Diceros bicornis minor: one gene and its partner. The protein of the gene in region 1 purifies or fractionates together with the protein of each later gene. This does not show direct contact. Links are inferred from orthologs where the notes say so. Each region holds a gene or a part of one and is shown on either strand. Other genes may lie near its edges.

The links.
Region 2: the proteins of PDE6D (region 1) and RAB28 purify together in Homo sapiens (affinity purification with mass spectrometry; 3 studies listed by BioGRID and IntAct, with this or other methods). This does not show direct contact. The link is inferred for Diceros bicornis minor from reciprocal best matches to the Homo sapiens genes PDE6D and RAB28.

What each region holds. Positions count from the first base shown.
Region 1 is NC_080776.1:20,151,210-20,158,847, reverse strand, and holds the start of PDE6D (retinal rod rhodopsin-sensitive cGMP 3',5'-cyclic phosphodiesterase subunit delta), read left to right. Parts: upstream 1-4,611; coding exon 4,612-4,615; intron 4,616-5,326; exon of another isoform or gene 5,327-5,453; intron 5,454-5,809; coding exon 5,810-6,101; intron 6,102-7,638. UniProt on the Homo sapiens protein: Promotes the release of prenylated target proteins from cellular membranes. Modulates the activity of prenylated or palmitoylated Ras family members by regulating their subcellular location.
Region 2 is NC_080747.1:10,318,308-10,326,051, forward strand, and holds the start of RAB28 (ras-related protein Rab-28), read right to left. Parts: upstream 3,063-7,744; 5' UTR 2,895-3,062; coding exon 2,820-2,894; intron 2,678-2,819; exon of another isoform or gene 2,543-2,677; coding exon of another isoform or gene 2,534-2,542; intron 1-2,533.

The DNA.
Region 1 (7,638 bases):
ACTCCTCCAAAAATGATACATATTGGGGCAGCGGGACAAAATGAAGGAGAACTGGTATAGCAGATTTAAACAGAGAACAATTCAAAGAAGGATAGTTTGGTGCAAGACTAAGTTTTCCAGTGGAGGCAGACACACAGCCCAGCAGCCCTTTTACAGTATTAGAGAAACAAGTACGTCGCCTCACTGAGGGTTACCTAAGACGGTCTTATCGGAATCAGGAAAAGTGAAGGGCTAGGGCATCAAGGTTGCTGAGGAGGGAAGGGGAAAGAGGAGAGAGAAGGGGAGACGGTGAAAGGGAAAAGGAGGGGAGGTGATGGTTAGTAGAGGAGGACCGAAAACCTCTCTTCCAAGTGGACACGTGTGAAGAGACTAAATGCAAGGGCCTGGGGGTGGGGAGGGAGTAGACAAATGGACAGAAACTTCGGTCCGTCAAAATAATCTCGGTCTATGGAGCAAAGCCCGTGAGGGCAAAAGTAAAGAGGCGCTGATAGTCGCTTTCTTCTGGAGTGGGAGGGCCCGAGAAGGCTAGGGCCACAGAGGAGATGGAGTCCCGTCCTGGGGAGGGCGCTATTCTGATAAACGGCAGAGTAGCAAAGAGGCAGCCCTCGGGGGTCGGGAAGAGAGAGCAGCCGCGGTGCGGGAGCTGAGGGTCGCCAGCTGGGGTGGACTCCAGGGCGGGCGGCGTGCTCCCAGCAGGGCCGCGGGGGCGGGGTGAGGACCGCGGGGCGCGCTCCCCCGGGCGGGGGCGGGGCGGTGTGGCCGCGGGCTTTCCCGGCGGCAGGCGCGCAGCCGGACGGCCCGAAGGAGGCTGGCGCGCCGGGCCCCGCCCGCTGGCCGGCCCCTACCTGTCCTCAGCGCCTCTCCGTCCTCTGGGTCGCTGGCTCAGCCTCCCGGCGCCTGCCCGCAGGTTGTCAAGCGTCCATGATCGGCCCGGCGTCCGACGCTTTTCTGCCTCCGCCGACCCGTTGCCCTTGCGGCTCCCCCGGAAGCCTCCCTCCGCTGCACTCGAGTTCCGCCCACACTAGGTTCCCCCACCGCGTTCGCAGACTCAGGCCTCCAGTGAGGCCGGGACCGGGCATAGAGGGTCCGAGCACGGCGTATAATCCAGGAGCTCGGTGGGGAGGGGCCGAGGAGACGATGCAGCCTAGGCAGTGCTGGGGCCCAAACCATCGGCATCCTGGGCCTGAAATCCACTCCTTTGGCCGAGCTTTACCTCTAGGAGGTCCCTATGGCGACTGCCGCTACCCTGGGGTCCAGGGACATATTAAGTCTACTAACAACTACCGTTTATTGAGCGTTTTTCCATGCGACAGGTGCTGTACGTATTCTCGTCGAATTCTCATAATGTCTATGGCCTAAAATATTATTCCCATTTTTCAGGCGAGTTAACTAAACCTAAAGATCCAAAAGGCAGTAAGTGGCAAAGTCCGATGTGGAACCCAGGCCCTCTGAAGCCAAAGACCATGTTCTTCCCTCTATTTAGAAAGTGTTTTATAATAAGCAAGAGATGGGTTGAGCCAACAATGGTTCTGTGACAAAAATGACATTCGTGGCGTTGCATTTGGTAAGTACCGACTCCCCTGGAAGGTGGCTGAGAAATGCTACATATCTGAACGCTTAAGCTGATTTCTCTAAAGTATGCACCACAGACTTTCAGGTCTTGAAGAGAGGAAAAGAACCTTATTTGCCTTTTGTGCATTAGAGTGCAGAAATCAGACAGACAGATGCAAAGGAGCCTAGGATCAACCCACTCATTTATTCAAAAAATTTCTCTAGCACCTGTTATGTTCTACAAGTTTATATGAAGAGAAGACAAGGTTCTTGCCCTCAAAAAGCTTCAATGTGTTAAGTGCTATGAGAGAGATATGACAACGCTTTGGAAACACAGAAGAGAATATTGGGGAAGAGAAAACAGGCATCTTTCAGGCGAAAAGGGGAAGAAAAGGGGGACAGTGACCACAATCACAGAGGCTTGCGCTGTGCAGCATATACTGATGCTGAATAGAAACTCAGAGTGGCTGGAACCCAGGGTTCAGGGGTGAGAAATGAGGGCTACAGAGCTGGAGTCAGGTCATCAAGGGTCTTGGAAACCACATGCAAGGCACTATACCCAGTAAAAACCTAAATACAGTGAAGTTCCCACCTGGGAGAGCTCACAGCCCCCTGGAAGAGACAGACCTGTCCAGTTATGACAGACAGTAGCCACAGGCACCCTAGGGGTACAGACAAGGCTCTCCTGACTGTGCCCTGGGGAGAGATGATTTAAGGCAGACTTCTGGAGGAGATGAGGCTTGAGTTGAGCCCGGAAGAATGAGCAAGCAAATCATAAATGGCCTAAGCCACGTAAAGGAGTTTTTATTTCATCTTAAGGGCACTAGGGAACAATTTAGGGTTTTTAAGCTGTGGAGAGGTAAGAATAATTGCCATTTTAGAATAACCACACTAGCTGCTATAGGAATGGATTGGGTGTGGAGAGAAGTAGAGGCAGGGAACCCCGTGAGGTGAATGATATATTCCAGATAAGAGATTGTGAGTTCTTGAACAAAGGTAGTGGCAGTTGGGCATGAAAAAGCAGGGACACTGTTGGAGACATTTAGACTGTAGAATCTATCAGACTTGGTGACCAGTTGAATGCAGGAATAGGGAAGGAGGATATCACCAAGGAATCTGGCTGGGGTGGCCAGGCTGTCTGGAGGTGGTGTTAAGTGAACAGGGCTGCGGAGGAGAAGGGGCAAAGTTGATGGTGGAAGGAAGACAACTAAGTTCTGTTTGAGTTCATAAATATTCCAGCAGAGCCTCCACTTTCTCCAGAATAATGTCCAGACTCCAAGGCTGCAGTTAAAGCCCTTCTCAGTATGCCTCCCTCCTACCCTTCCAGCTTTGTCTCGCTTCACCCTCTTTACGGCCCAAACTCCAGGCCTCCCCATGCCCAACACAACTTACACGTTCCCTCTCTGACCCCAGGGTCTATGGGTCAAGTTTGCTCCCTCTTCTTTTCTGCAGTGCTCTTCCCTCATATTTGCCTGTTAAAATCCAACCAACCCTGTACCCAAAGGTTTCTTAAACTCGATGCAAAAAGCACTAATCATAAAACACTGAACTATTGCACTACATTAAAATTAAGGATTTCTGTTTATCAAAAGACACCAGTACGAGACTGAAAAGATAAGCCACAGACTTGGAAAAGATATTTGCAAATCATGTATCAGACAAAGAACTCCATATCCAGACTATACAAAGAACTACAAATCAGTAAGAAGACAAACAGCGCAATTTAAAAAGTGGGCAAAAGACTTGAACAAGCACTTCACAGAAGAGGATGTTCATATAAGCATATGGAAAGGTGCTCAACACCAGACAATGTAAATAAAAACTATAATGAGATACCACATTTAGCCAAAATGGCTAAAATTAAAAAGACTGACAACACCCAGTATTGACAAAGATAAGAGTCAACCAGAACTCTCTTACACTGCTGGTGGAGGTGAAAATTGGTACAAACATTTTGGAAAACTGGCAATATCTACTATTGCTGATCATATGCACACCGTACAAGCCAGCAACTCCTCTCCTAGAAATGAGTCCACAAGAAGGAACATATAAGAAGCTCATTGCAGCTTTATTAATAAAAGCCAAAAATTGATAACTGATTACCTAAATGCCCATCAACAGTAGAATAGATCAACAGTGCTATATACAGACAATGGAATACTACTCACGAATTTAAAGAAAAACAAGCTACTGCTACATACAACATGGATGAATTTCACAAAAATATTGATGAATGAAAAAAGCCAGACATACTGTACATATTGTATGATTACATTTAAATGAAATTCAAGAACAGACAAAACTGATGTATGGTAACAGAAGTCAGAAGAATGGTTACTGGGATGGGACGATGAAGTACTGATTGGAAAGGGGCACAAGGGGTGCTGGAAATATTCTATATCTTGATTTGGGGGGTGGTGACACAGGTGTATACATATGCAAAAATTGTGCCCTTACTGTATGTGTTATACCTTATTAACAAAAAAATATAAAGATGGGGCTGGCCCGGTGGCACAGCGGTTAAGTGCATGCACTCCGCTTTGGTGGCCCGGGGTTCGCAGGTTCGGATCTGGGGTGCACAACGACGCACCACTTGTCAAGCCATGCTGTGGCAGTATCCCATATAAAGCAGAGGAAAATGGGCATGGATGGTAGCCCAGGGCCTATCTTCCTCAGCAAAAAAGAGGAGGATTGGCATCGGGATGTTAGCTCAGGGCTAGTCTTCCTCACACACACACAAAAAAATGTAAAGATAAAATTTTTTAACATAGAAAAAAAATCCTGTGCATCCTTCAAGTTCAAATGCGACCTCCTCCATCAATAAATGGAATACATCTCTCCATCAGAGCCTCTATAGCATTCTGACGTCCTTTCTTTTATGCCATTTATCACAGTCCACCTTGAATCTCAGTGGAGTCTCCTTATTTCACTAACTAGATGGTTATCTTCCTGGTGGCAATGACCATGCCTTTCAGCTTTTATAGAAAGCCTGGCAAATAACAAAAGCTGAAAAAGCTGTTTGTGGAATTACATGGAAGGAAAAATTGGGTGAGTGCCCAGATGGGTGAGAGAGGGACAGGAAGAGGAAGGAAAGCCTAGGAAAACAGACAGGAGATCTTCCAGGAAACTTGAGCTTACACTACAATTTTACCCAGTTCCTGAAATCACGTTAAATGTCACGTTGAGCAACAAACAAACAAAGAACAAAGCAAAACACCAAGTCCTACCTAGACTGAAGATAAACATCACACTCCTTCATTTGGAGGAAATCCACCAAATAAATGCTTACCTAACCTCTGGGTGTTTCAACCCCGATGGGGAAACTTCACCAGGGAGAAGAATAACCACATAGCCATGCTGCTAAAAATATCGCCACCCTAGTGTGGTGCAAAGAGCCCAGAGAGTGTCAGGAAACTTAGGGCCGAATTCTAACTCTGCCCCAACTTGCTGTGACCCGTGGACAATCTCCTTGCCTCTCTGGGTCTCAGTTTCCTCATATGTAAAACAACAGGGGTTGGATTAGCAAATTCTCTAAAGTCCCTTCCTATACTGATATTCTGAGTACACTATCGATATCTCTCCCGGTCCAACGCAGGAGCACACCAGAAACCCCTGCAAAAAACGTAAAAGGCGCTCCAGACCAACAAACAAGCAAGGTTTGAAGGAGTCATTTTATCTTATTATCTCTCATGGTTTAATCAGTGTTTCTGTTTGTTGTTTGCAGCCTTACCATGATTTGCAGGAGATTTCTGAGTTCCATGTAAACAAAAGTTACCTCTCTGTGGGCTGTCATCTTCTTTTGAGGGTGAAGAGGGTCTTGCCGCCTGGTTTCAAGTCTCCGGATTCAGAAACTACCAAACCTGAGGCACGGTTTATGAATTTGCGCACACTGCGCGGCACACTGGAGTCCAAGTTACAGAGGAATAGAGTGCAGGGAATGCTGGGATTTGTAGTCCCTGGGCCTCTTTGTTGCTTGCTGGGATCTGTGGTCCCCTGGGATTCTGGGAAATGTAGTCTCCGCCACATCTCACGGTGCAACCCGCTGTCATCTCAGAGCCCTTGTGTGCCCAGCAGCGGGAGCAGGCCCCTCGAGCCTCTGCAGATCTAAAATCCTCCACTGGGGAAAACTCTAGGCAACAGCACCGAATGAAAAAAAAAAAAAAAAAATTTGTCCTACGGGACTTCCCCGGGAGGGCCCTTCCCATTGACGCTCATCGTCCCCCCTTGAAGCCGCTGAGTGTTTCCATTGGCTGATCAGGATGCCAATCGCCGAGGCGGGCTTTCCATTGGCTTCGGGGCGGGCGCTCCGAGGCTAGAGGGAAGGAGAAGGAATCAGGAGCGGGAGCTGAGGGGAGAGAGAGGCCGGTCCGGGTCTGGCCGCTGCCGCTGCTCGCCGGAGGTCTCCAGGCCCGGCTGCAGCTCAGTCCTCGGCTCCTGGTCACCGTCTACGAGGCTCCTCCGGGCCAGCGTGGGAGAGCCGCGGGCGGCGGTCGCCGCATCATGTCAGCCAAGGACGACCGGGCCAGGGAGATCCTGAGGGGCTTCAAACTGTATCCGCCTGGGAGCGGGGCGGGGCCGGGAGGACTTGGGAGGCGGCCGCTGGCTGAGGAGACAGGCCGGGGGCGGGGGCCGCGCCAGGTGGGCGCCCGAGGAGAGGGCGGCGGGAGGAGATGGCAGGAGCGGCGTCCCGGGCCCCCGGCGGGACCGGCTCTGGAGGTGGGGAAAGGGGCGTCCTGAGGGAGGAAGGGGTCGTTGACGGGAGCGCCGGGGGGTGCAGGCGGAGGAGCCCCAGAATCGGTCGGGGAGAGGCGCCGGGCGTGGGAAACGGGTGGCAGGGAGGCCAGCTGGCGTCCGAACTCCGGCCCGCACCCAGAAGCCGGGAAGGGGCTGCGGCCCACGGGGAAGGGCCGAGGGGGCGCGGTGGGCTGGCCTCGAAGCCCAGCAGCCTCTTGGGCGGGAAGCCCCCGGCGGGAGCAGGGAAAAGTGACTTGGAGCGAATGACCTTGTGTGGGACAAGTGCAAATGCTTGTGTTAAACTCTCTCGGGTGCCCGCATCCCATACCACCCCCCACCCCACCCCCGCCGTGTTTCTGCAACTTCTCTTCCTCACTTGTGGCTCCTTCCAGGGCTGGAGCAGAGCAAGGTGGGGAGAGAGAAGTCCGAGATCTAACTCTGCCTTGGCCTTTTGAGGCATTGGACGGTCACTTCTTCTCCCCTCAGATCCTCAGTTTTCTTTCCACCAAATGAGGACCCTAAACTTGTGGCTGAGATGCCTTGAGGTGTCTTGGTTTTGCCCTGGGACTCCTGGCAAAGGGATCTTGGCGTGCTCACATGTGTGGTTAACGCATAGACATGGGGGAGCTGTCCAGCAATTATTTGATTACATTGGGGACATGGTAGGATATAGTAGCATATAGAAATCATTGCCTCAGGCCTGTGTGGTGCCTCTTGTGCAACCCTCTTAATGTAGTGAGGAAGCTTTGTGTTTTAATGGAGTGTTAATCTGTAACGGTATGATGAGGATGAAAAAAATGTAATCTTATACATTCCAATTTTACATTTTCTTGCCGACCTTAATCTCTTCTTACATGCTCTGCCTACAATATGGAACATTCTTCAGTTCCTCTCTCAATGAAAATGTAGTCGTCACTTTAGGGCTCCTCCCCTGGAGGTTTAGTAAAGCACTGTTCTCTGAGCTCCTGTGTGTGTTCACAATGCCCATTTCACCCCTGCACATTTTCATTGCTTTGTCATAATCAGACACCAAGTTGTAGTCAGTTTTAGAACACAACAGGCAAAAAAGTTCCAGGAAGTTTGGGACGTACAAATGAAATTTTTCAAATGGAAGCTGACCTGCTATGCTTTTTTTTTTTTTTTAAAGGAAGACTATCACCTTTGTGTACTGCCGTTCATGGTAAACTTTTAGTACTTTTATGCAGTGAAGTTTAGTGACAGCCTCTTTTATAGCTCCCTGTACCTTTCTGTGTTTCTCTTCATAATGGGTCTATAAGCAAATAGGGATGGCTGAAGTGTGAGAAAAGCTGTGACATGGATTTTATTTTTCCCTTAAGTAATTTATATTGTTAC
Region 2 (7,744 bases), on another chromosome or scaffold:
CGTCTCCAGACATCTTACTATAAAAATTAAACAGAGGATCAACCGAATCAGTGAGAGGCACTTACTCTTCAATTATCTAGACTTTGTGCCATCTTTCACATTTAATAATTTCTCACAAGTCATTGTATAAATACCATTCTTAAACAATTATGAAGTGAACAATCATCTACCATATCTGAAACGTTATCTGATTCTTTATTTTTTTTATTGTTTGGTGAACTTTTGCTAACAATTTTAACCATACTACATTTACTAACACTGAAAAGACACCATAAAAGAATACTTTGCCTCAAAAAAATCTTAAGAAATATGTAATAAAATCAAAAGTATGAATCAAAACAGGAAATAAATAGAAACACGTGCTACTAGGAGGAGGAGCTAAATTTCTCTTGGAGAAACTGTTAGTGGTCATCTCAATACTCAGTTGCTTCTGTCAGTGTATACAGAAATGCCCTGAGTTAGAACTAGCAAGAAAAACTAATGCTAGAAAAAATGGCCACAAGTTAAATCAGGATACAAATAAGAATGAAAAAGAGGCTGAATTCATAAAAGAAAAGGACAGTAAAAGAAGAGAATGGGAATGTTGGCAGCCGCCAGTAATTTGAGAGCTGAACAGGGTATGAAGGGAAAAAAAGCTTGATATATGAATAATGAAAAATAGTTAGGTTTCTGATGCTTATATCCGGAAATTTCTGGCAGAAAAAAGTCTTTATGGTTTTAAAATACACAAGCTAAGATGATGAAGACTAAATCAGAACACCATAAAGAGTATCACGGTTATCCTTTGAAGTAGAATGATAATCCTAATTCAACAATATTGAACTGCAAAAATTATGCTTTGTCCTACACAGAATTTTAAACAAAGATGAAGAACATAACTATTCATAATAAATTACCAACATGAGGAAAATGTATGACAGGCTAAATAAACCTAGATACAAAATTATGAACAAATTTCAACTAATACATGTATGATGATAACGAATAAATACTAGGAGAAAAAAATGAATAAAAGTTTAAAGAACTGCGATAGAATGTAGAATGGCAGGTAATTTTTGTGTCTTTTTATAAGTGTATTGGTGTTATATATTATTATAATTTTAAAAAGGAAATAAATTCAGTTATGAGTTGACTATAAAAAGATTTAGGAAATGTAAAATTAGAAGGCATTCAAAAGAAAATATGAATGATGAGAAAACTATAAAAATATAACTTAAAATTTTTATTGATTAAAGGTGTTAGAAACAATGCTGATTTATTTAAAACAATTAATCCATTCAAAAAGTTGTTTTATATGTACAAAAATTCATACAATTAATACTTTATAAAGAAAAGTGATCCCAAGTTCTTTTCTTCCCCAAAATGTTTAAAAGTAATCAAAATATATTAAGTTGTTCTTCCTCAGCAATAAAAATCAATAACAAAATTCCCAGGAAGGCAAGAAAGAAATTAGAACTCTCCAAATTTTGCATTTGAATGACATCTTTCCCAGGGGGCCTCAGAACTCAAATCTCAGAACCAAAGACAGGAGCAGCTGCCCAGTGCCAACTGCCAGGGAAAAGGCAAAGAGCAATCGTCACCACAGAGACCAAGGTAACTATACCAGTAACAGGCAAACGTGAACCTGAAATCGGGAAACTGGTAGCAATAATAACCTGCATTTCTGAAGACTCTGGTTGGGGAAAATGGAGTGGAGAAGAAAGGAGACAAACTTGAGCAATATTCCCAGAAGGAGTGTTAGCACCTTTGACAGAAACGACAGGTGTGAAGACACCCCGGGCAGAGGCTCTTCGCTTTGTTTGGGGTGTGTGTCACAGACTCCTTTGAGATCCTATAGACCCTCTCCAAAGAGCAAGTACCAGGCAATGTTTATTTCATTTCAGGAGCTCCACAACCCTGGGTTAAAAACCCCTGCCTAGGAGATAAGGAGACTGGCTGCCGGATATTCTCATGCACGCACTCCCTCCCTCTCATTCAACCAACCATCACCGAAGTCTAGACTTTAAGGCAAGGATCCCCTCTATCAAGCTAGCAGCTCTACCCTCAGCATCCAGCCCATAACAGGAGCTCAACAGATATTTGTTGAATGAATGCTTGTGCTGACAGGTGCTGTGCTGGGAACAGACAAGAACAGGTACGATGCTGTAAAACAGCAACCAACGTTTATTGAGTGCACACCATGTTCTGAAAGCTTTACGTGGATTTTCACATTTAATGTGTATTTGCACACTTAACCCTTTGAGGCGACCCCCATCAATACCTATCTTACAGATGAAGCACAAATAGGTTGGCAATTTGCCCTCCAGTCACTCGACAAGTAAGTGATGGAGCCCCAATTCTCACCCGGGGAATCTGATTCCAGAGCCAAGCTCTTGGGAGCTCCCAGTACAGTGGAGGCATCCGAAACGGTGAAGGGGGGAAAGGAGCCAAGTGTGACCTGGACTAAAGTAAAAAGAGGTAAGATGCCTTGGCAGATCCTTGCCAGTCCTCAGAGACGAGAAGCTGGAAAGCTTCCCAGGGAGGTGATGCTGACCCGAGTCATGAAGGAGAAGTAGGAGTTCGCGATCCAAGCAGGGAGTCGAGGAGTGACTGTTTTTTTTTGTTTTGTTTTGTTTTGTTTTAAGAGGAGCTGGACAGCTCTCGTCGGCCTTCACCAAGCGCCTGCTTCGTGTCCGGCCCCAGGCCAAGACCAGGCGGGCCCGGGCCCAGAGGTCCCGGGACTCGGGGTAATGAGGCGGCGGCAGGGAAGAGGCTGAGGGCGCCGGGGCCGCGCCGGGGTTCCTGCAGGCCTGGGACGGCTAGCCCGCTCGAGGACTGACCTTCCCGGAGGTGCCGTCCCCCAGCACGACGATTTTCAGTTGCCGGTCCTGGCTCTCCTCCTCAGAGTCCGACATGGTGTCCCGGGAAGCGGGCCCGCCTCCCCCTCCCCCCGAGGTAGAGGAAGAAAGGGAAGGAGGGGGGTCTCCGGGGGCGGAGGAGAGGAGGAAGGGCGGCAGTGGGGGCAGGACCCCCCGCCCCGGTGTCTCAGCGGCCACTGAAGGTACCAGGAGAGAATCACTCGCCCGGCGCCATCTTGCCCACCTCCCCGCCCCCTGCGCGCTGCGTTGGGCGCGCCCCCCGCCTTGGCGCCAACCCGCGCCGACCGCGAGTCTCCCCGTGGAGCCGGCCCATTCGTGGGCCTGGGATGGGGGAGGCGTTCGAGCCGAGCAGGCGAAGCGCCGCGCTACCCTCGCAGGGGCAGTTGGCGAAAGGAAAGCTGGAAGTGTATCCTTCAAACTAGGTGGAAAAATCGGAGCAGACGTTCTATCAAATTCCCTTGTTTCCCTCTCGCCCTGCGAAGGTCCCTGAGGCGAATGGTTTAGCCCGATGCGGATTGAGGGAGGAATGACGCCTGGGCTACGCGCCGCGGTTGCCATGGAAGCCGGGAGTTGGAGGAGAGGCGCGGGGGCCCGTTTCCTGGCTCCCCAGACGCTGGTTGCTGGTTGCCAGGCGTAGCGCGCAGGGAAGGGGTCCCTGGAGCTGGCGTGGGCGCCGGGGGTCGCGCTCAGGGAGGAGCGGCGGCGCGGCTGAGGGTGGCGGTTGCTAAGGACCGCGCTGCCAGGTGGGGAAGCTGTAGAGGCCGCCGTGAGTGGGGTGGAACTGTGGCGCTGCCTCTTATTTTAGCCTCTCTGGAGTTTCCTCGTATGAGACACAGAATCCCTTGATTCATTCATCAACCGCATACCCTGGAGCAGTAGTTCTCAAAGTGTGGTCCGGGGAACCCTCGGTGGTCCTGGTGAAGTCAAAACTATTTTCATAATACAAAGACCTTTTTTTTCTTTTCCTTTTTTTTTTTTTTTTGTCTTTTCCACGTTCATTTTCTCACAAGTACACAGAAACGTTTTCCAGAGGATGCATGATGTGTATGACATCATCACTCTGGCAGCTGAGGGAGCATGTGCCTTTTATTCTGTTTCAAACATTTCTCAGTATTAATTTCAGTGCAGTAATGATCGCTATAACTCACATAAACCAAAGCTCTTTGGGGTCCACAATAATTCTTTTTTTTTTTCTGTGAGGAAGATCGGCCCTGAGCTGACATCTGCCAATCCTCCTCTTTTTGCTGAGGAAGACTGGCCCTGAGCTAACATCCATGCCCATCTTCCTCTACTTTATATGTGACACCGCCACAGCATGGCCTGACGAACCGTGTGTCCGTGCGCACCTGGGATCCGGACTGGCAAACCGCAGGCCGCTGCAGCACAGCGCACGCACTTAACTGCTTGTGCCACCAGGCCAGCCCCCTACAATGATTCTTAAGAGTGTAGAGGGGCCCCTGAGTTCAAAACGTTTGAGAACTGCTGTCGTGGATGATCTCAGTCCAGTAGGGTGGGTAAAAGACATAACTGAAAATTTCAATATAGTGAGACAAATTCTACAGTAATAATGCCAGCCTACTATGTTTGTCTCATTGTTAATTACTGTACATGGATGATCAGTTCACTCCTTATGGGAACCCCATAACATGGGTAGAATTATCCCCGTTTACAGATGAGAAAGCTTAAGTCACAAAAGCTTAGCTCAGAGGCAGTAGTCCACGGGAAATGGAAAGCAGTACAGTGTAAAGAAGTGCCCAGCCCCGGAGATAGCACTGGAGTTCTAATCACAGGTCTGCACTTACTTGATGTGTGACCTCATGCCACAGTTTCCTCATCTATAAAATAGAGGTACTACTTCCTTCATAGGGTTGAGAATTAAGTAATCAATGTAAAGTAACATAGAACAATACTTGACATATAGTAAGCTCAGTATGAACCAGTGTAATTATCACGCTCATCGTCATTATTAAATATGGTCCATGTTGGAGCATCACTGCTTTCTAGCCATGTTACCTTAGACAAGTTTCTTATGTAGAGCCTCAGACTCTTCATCTGTAAATAGGACTGGTTCACAATAGTACCTACTCAGGTAGTATTAGCTCCCAGTTTTCTCTCCCTACTACTGACAACAACAACTTTCTACATAACTGGCTGAGTTAATGAGAATTAGAAGAAAAAGAATATGTGAAAGGGCTTTGCAAAGTTCTTTGTAACTGTTATTTTGAAGAATCCCTTTCTAATGAGGACAGACTTAACCCCTTCTTGTCCACGAGGGGAGTTAATATGGCAGAAATTTGCTTTTCCACTCTTCCTGAATGGAGATGGTTATATGACCCAGTTCTGACCAATGAGACAGAAGAGGATGTCCTTTGAGAGACATCTGGGAAAGATTTTCCTCTTTGATTAAAAAAAAAAGAAAGAAAGAAAAAGATAGATGCAGAAGGAAAGATCTCCCCCTCCCTTCCTTTGCTGTCCATATTTGGATAAGGGCATAATATTTGGAACTGCTACAACCTTCTTCAGCCCACCATCCAGGCTTCTTGTTATGGGAAATAATGCTAAGGCATTTTAGTGATATATTTCATTACTTGCACCAAAACATATTCCATTATTTGCACAAACACATCCCACTGGCACAACTACTTTGGCCAAAAACTAGATTTAGCTAAGGTCATAGGACAGATTTTCATGTATGTTTTCATATGAAGGGAAATCTAGAAGAAAACTTTGCAGTTTCCAATCATCATGCTTTGATGGAGAGACACTATTTATTTGGATCTTGATTCGTTCCTAGGATAGTGTTGCTATATGAAACAAAAAGTCAATTGTGTTATTTCAGTGACCATATTTTATACACCTATGGAAAGATTCCAGGTTGAAAATTAGATTTGAAGAGTTGGAGCCATATTTATAAATTAAAAAGAAAAAAATATTCTTATTGTATGGAGGACCATGCACTAAATGCTTCTATTTACTATTCTAAACAGAAGTACAGCTGATCCACAGAAAAGAAAAATGTCTCTGTGGAGCCTCTGTAAAATGTCCACAACAGGCTGATAAACTAGAGGAATCTTTTTCAGTGGCCTTAAAACTAGTAAATTAACAAAATGCTTAGAGAAGAATTCTAGAAATTTCAAGAAAATAGGGTTCTTTAGATATGAAGTAAAAGTTGTTACACAAGATAAACCTGACTGCTATCTATAAAACCACCTTCCCACCTAATTTTAAAACACCTTTTCTAGCATTCCTAACAGATGATAATCCAAACTTTATTGGAATAGATCCAGATTCAAAAAGCTTATTCTCTCATGAAGCAAGCTGGACTCTGGACAGATAGGCCTGGTTATTAGAATATTCTTCCTGAGATAAACTGAAGTCTTTGACTATAAATTCCAACTAATGGTATTCTGTATGTCTTCTGGAGTAAAACAGAACTTCCTCGTTCTAAAGGAATGTCTTCAAATTGATTCATTATAAATAATGATTGATTTGACAAATATTAAGTGAATGCCTACTGTGTGCCAGGCATTCTTGCTCAAAAATCTTCTAAACAATGAGGACGAACAAGTGACCAAAACACACAAGGGCTCTGCTCCCATGGAACTTGCAATTTGGAGAGGTGTAATAGATGAAATAATGACCACTCCAAAGATATCAGGTCCCAATCCCTGGAAGCTGTAAATGTCACCTTATTTGCAAAAAGCATCTTTCAGCTGTGATTAAATTAAGGATTTTGAGGTGGAGAGATTATCCTGGATTATCAAGGTGGGCCCTAAATGCAATCACATCTTATAAGAGAGAGGCAGAGGAAGATTTGACCCAGACAGAAAAAGAGAAAGCAGTGTGACCACAGAGGCAGAGGCTGGAGTGATGCAGCCACAAGCCAAGGGATGCTGGCAGTCACCGAAAGCTGGAAGAGGCAAGGAACAAATTCTCCCCCTGTAGCCTCCAAGAGAATGCAGCCCTGTCAACACCTTGACTTCAGTCCAGTGAATGCTGATTTAGGACTTCTGGCATCCAAAACTGTGAGAGAATAAATTTATGTTGTTTTAAGCCACCATGTTTGTGGTTATGTTACAACGGCCACAGGAAACTAATACAAGGAGAAGAGTAGAAATTTCATGTCAACAGGAAAATTTCAGATTCAGGTAAAAAAAGATAGTAAAACAGCTGATGGATAGGATAAAGAGTAAAAGCATCTGAACATTTTTATTCATCACTAATGAAGGTGAGAAAATAGTAAGTGAATCAGAGAGTAAACTGATTTCAGAAACCACCAATCTCTGCCATCTTCTTAACAAATCCAATAGTCACCCATCATTTTCCCTTCATCTTTTTGCAATATTTCATAATTCTGAAGATGCAGAGCTTAGGACTGATGTCCAAGTGAACATGGAAAGAAAAACATAAAATATTGTGGAGTAAGGCAAAATAATGGCCATGCTCCCAGCTTGTGCACTTGTTATTACTGTATTTCTGCTGAAAAATCTGAGAAAAATATGTAAATGATCCCCAGAATTTAGTGGTGTATTAAGCTCCTAAAGGACAAAAAATCAGTAAATAAGTCTCTATCCCTGAAATTTTCTTCTCCCTTGGTTATAGGTATATATCCATATAAACACACGTGTGTGGTGTGTGTGTGTGCATGCAACCACCACCTAGATCAAGATATACAATTCAGAATCTCAGCAGGCTCCCTTGTGCCATCTTTCAGGCATCACCTCCTCAAAGGTAACTACTATTCTGACCTCTAGCACTATAAATTAGTATTACCTGTTTTTGAGCTTCATATAAATAGGCTTCATACAGTACGTACTCTTTGGTATCTGGCTCCTTTCACTAAATATTATGTCTATGAGAGTCATCCATGTTGTTATGTGTAGCAA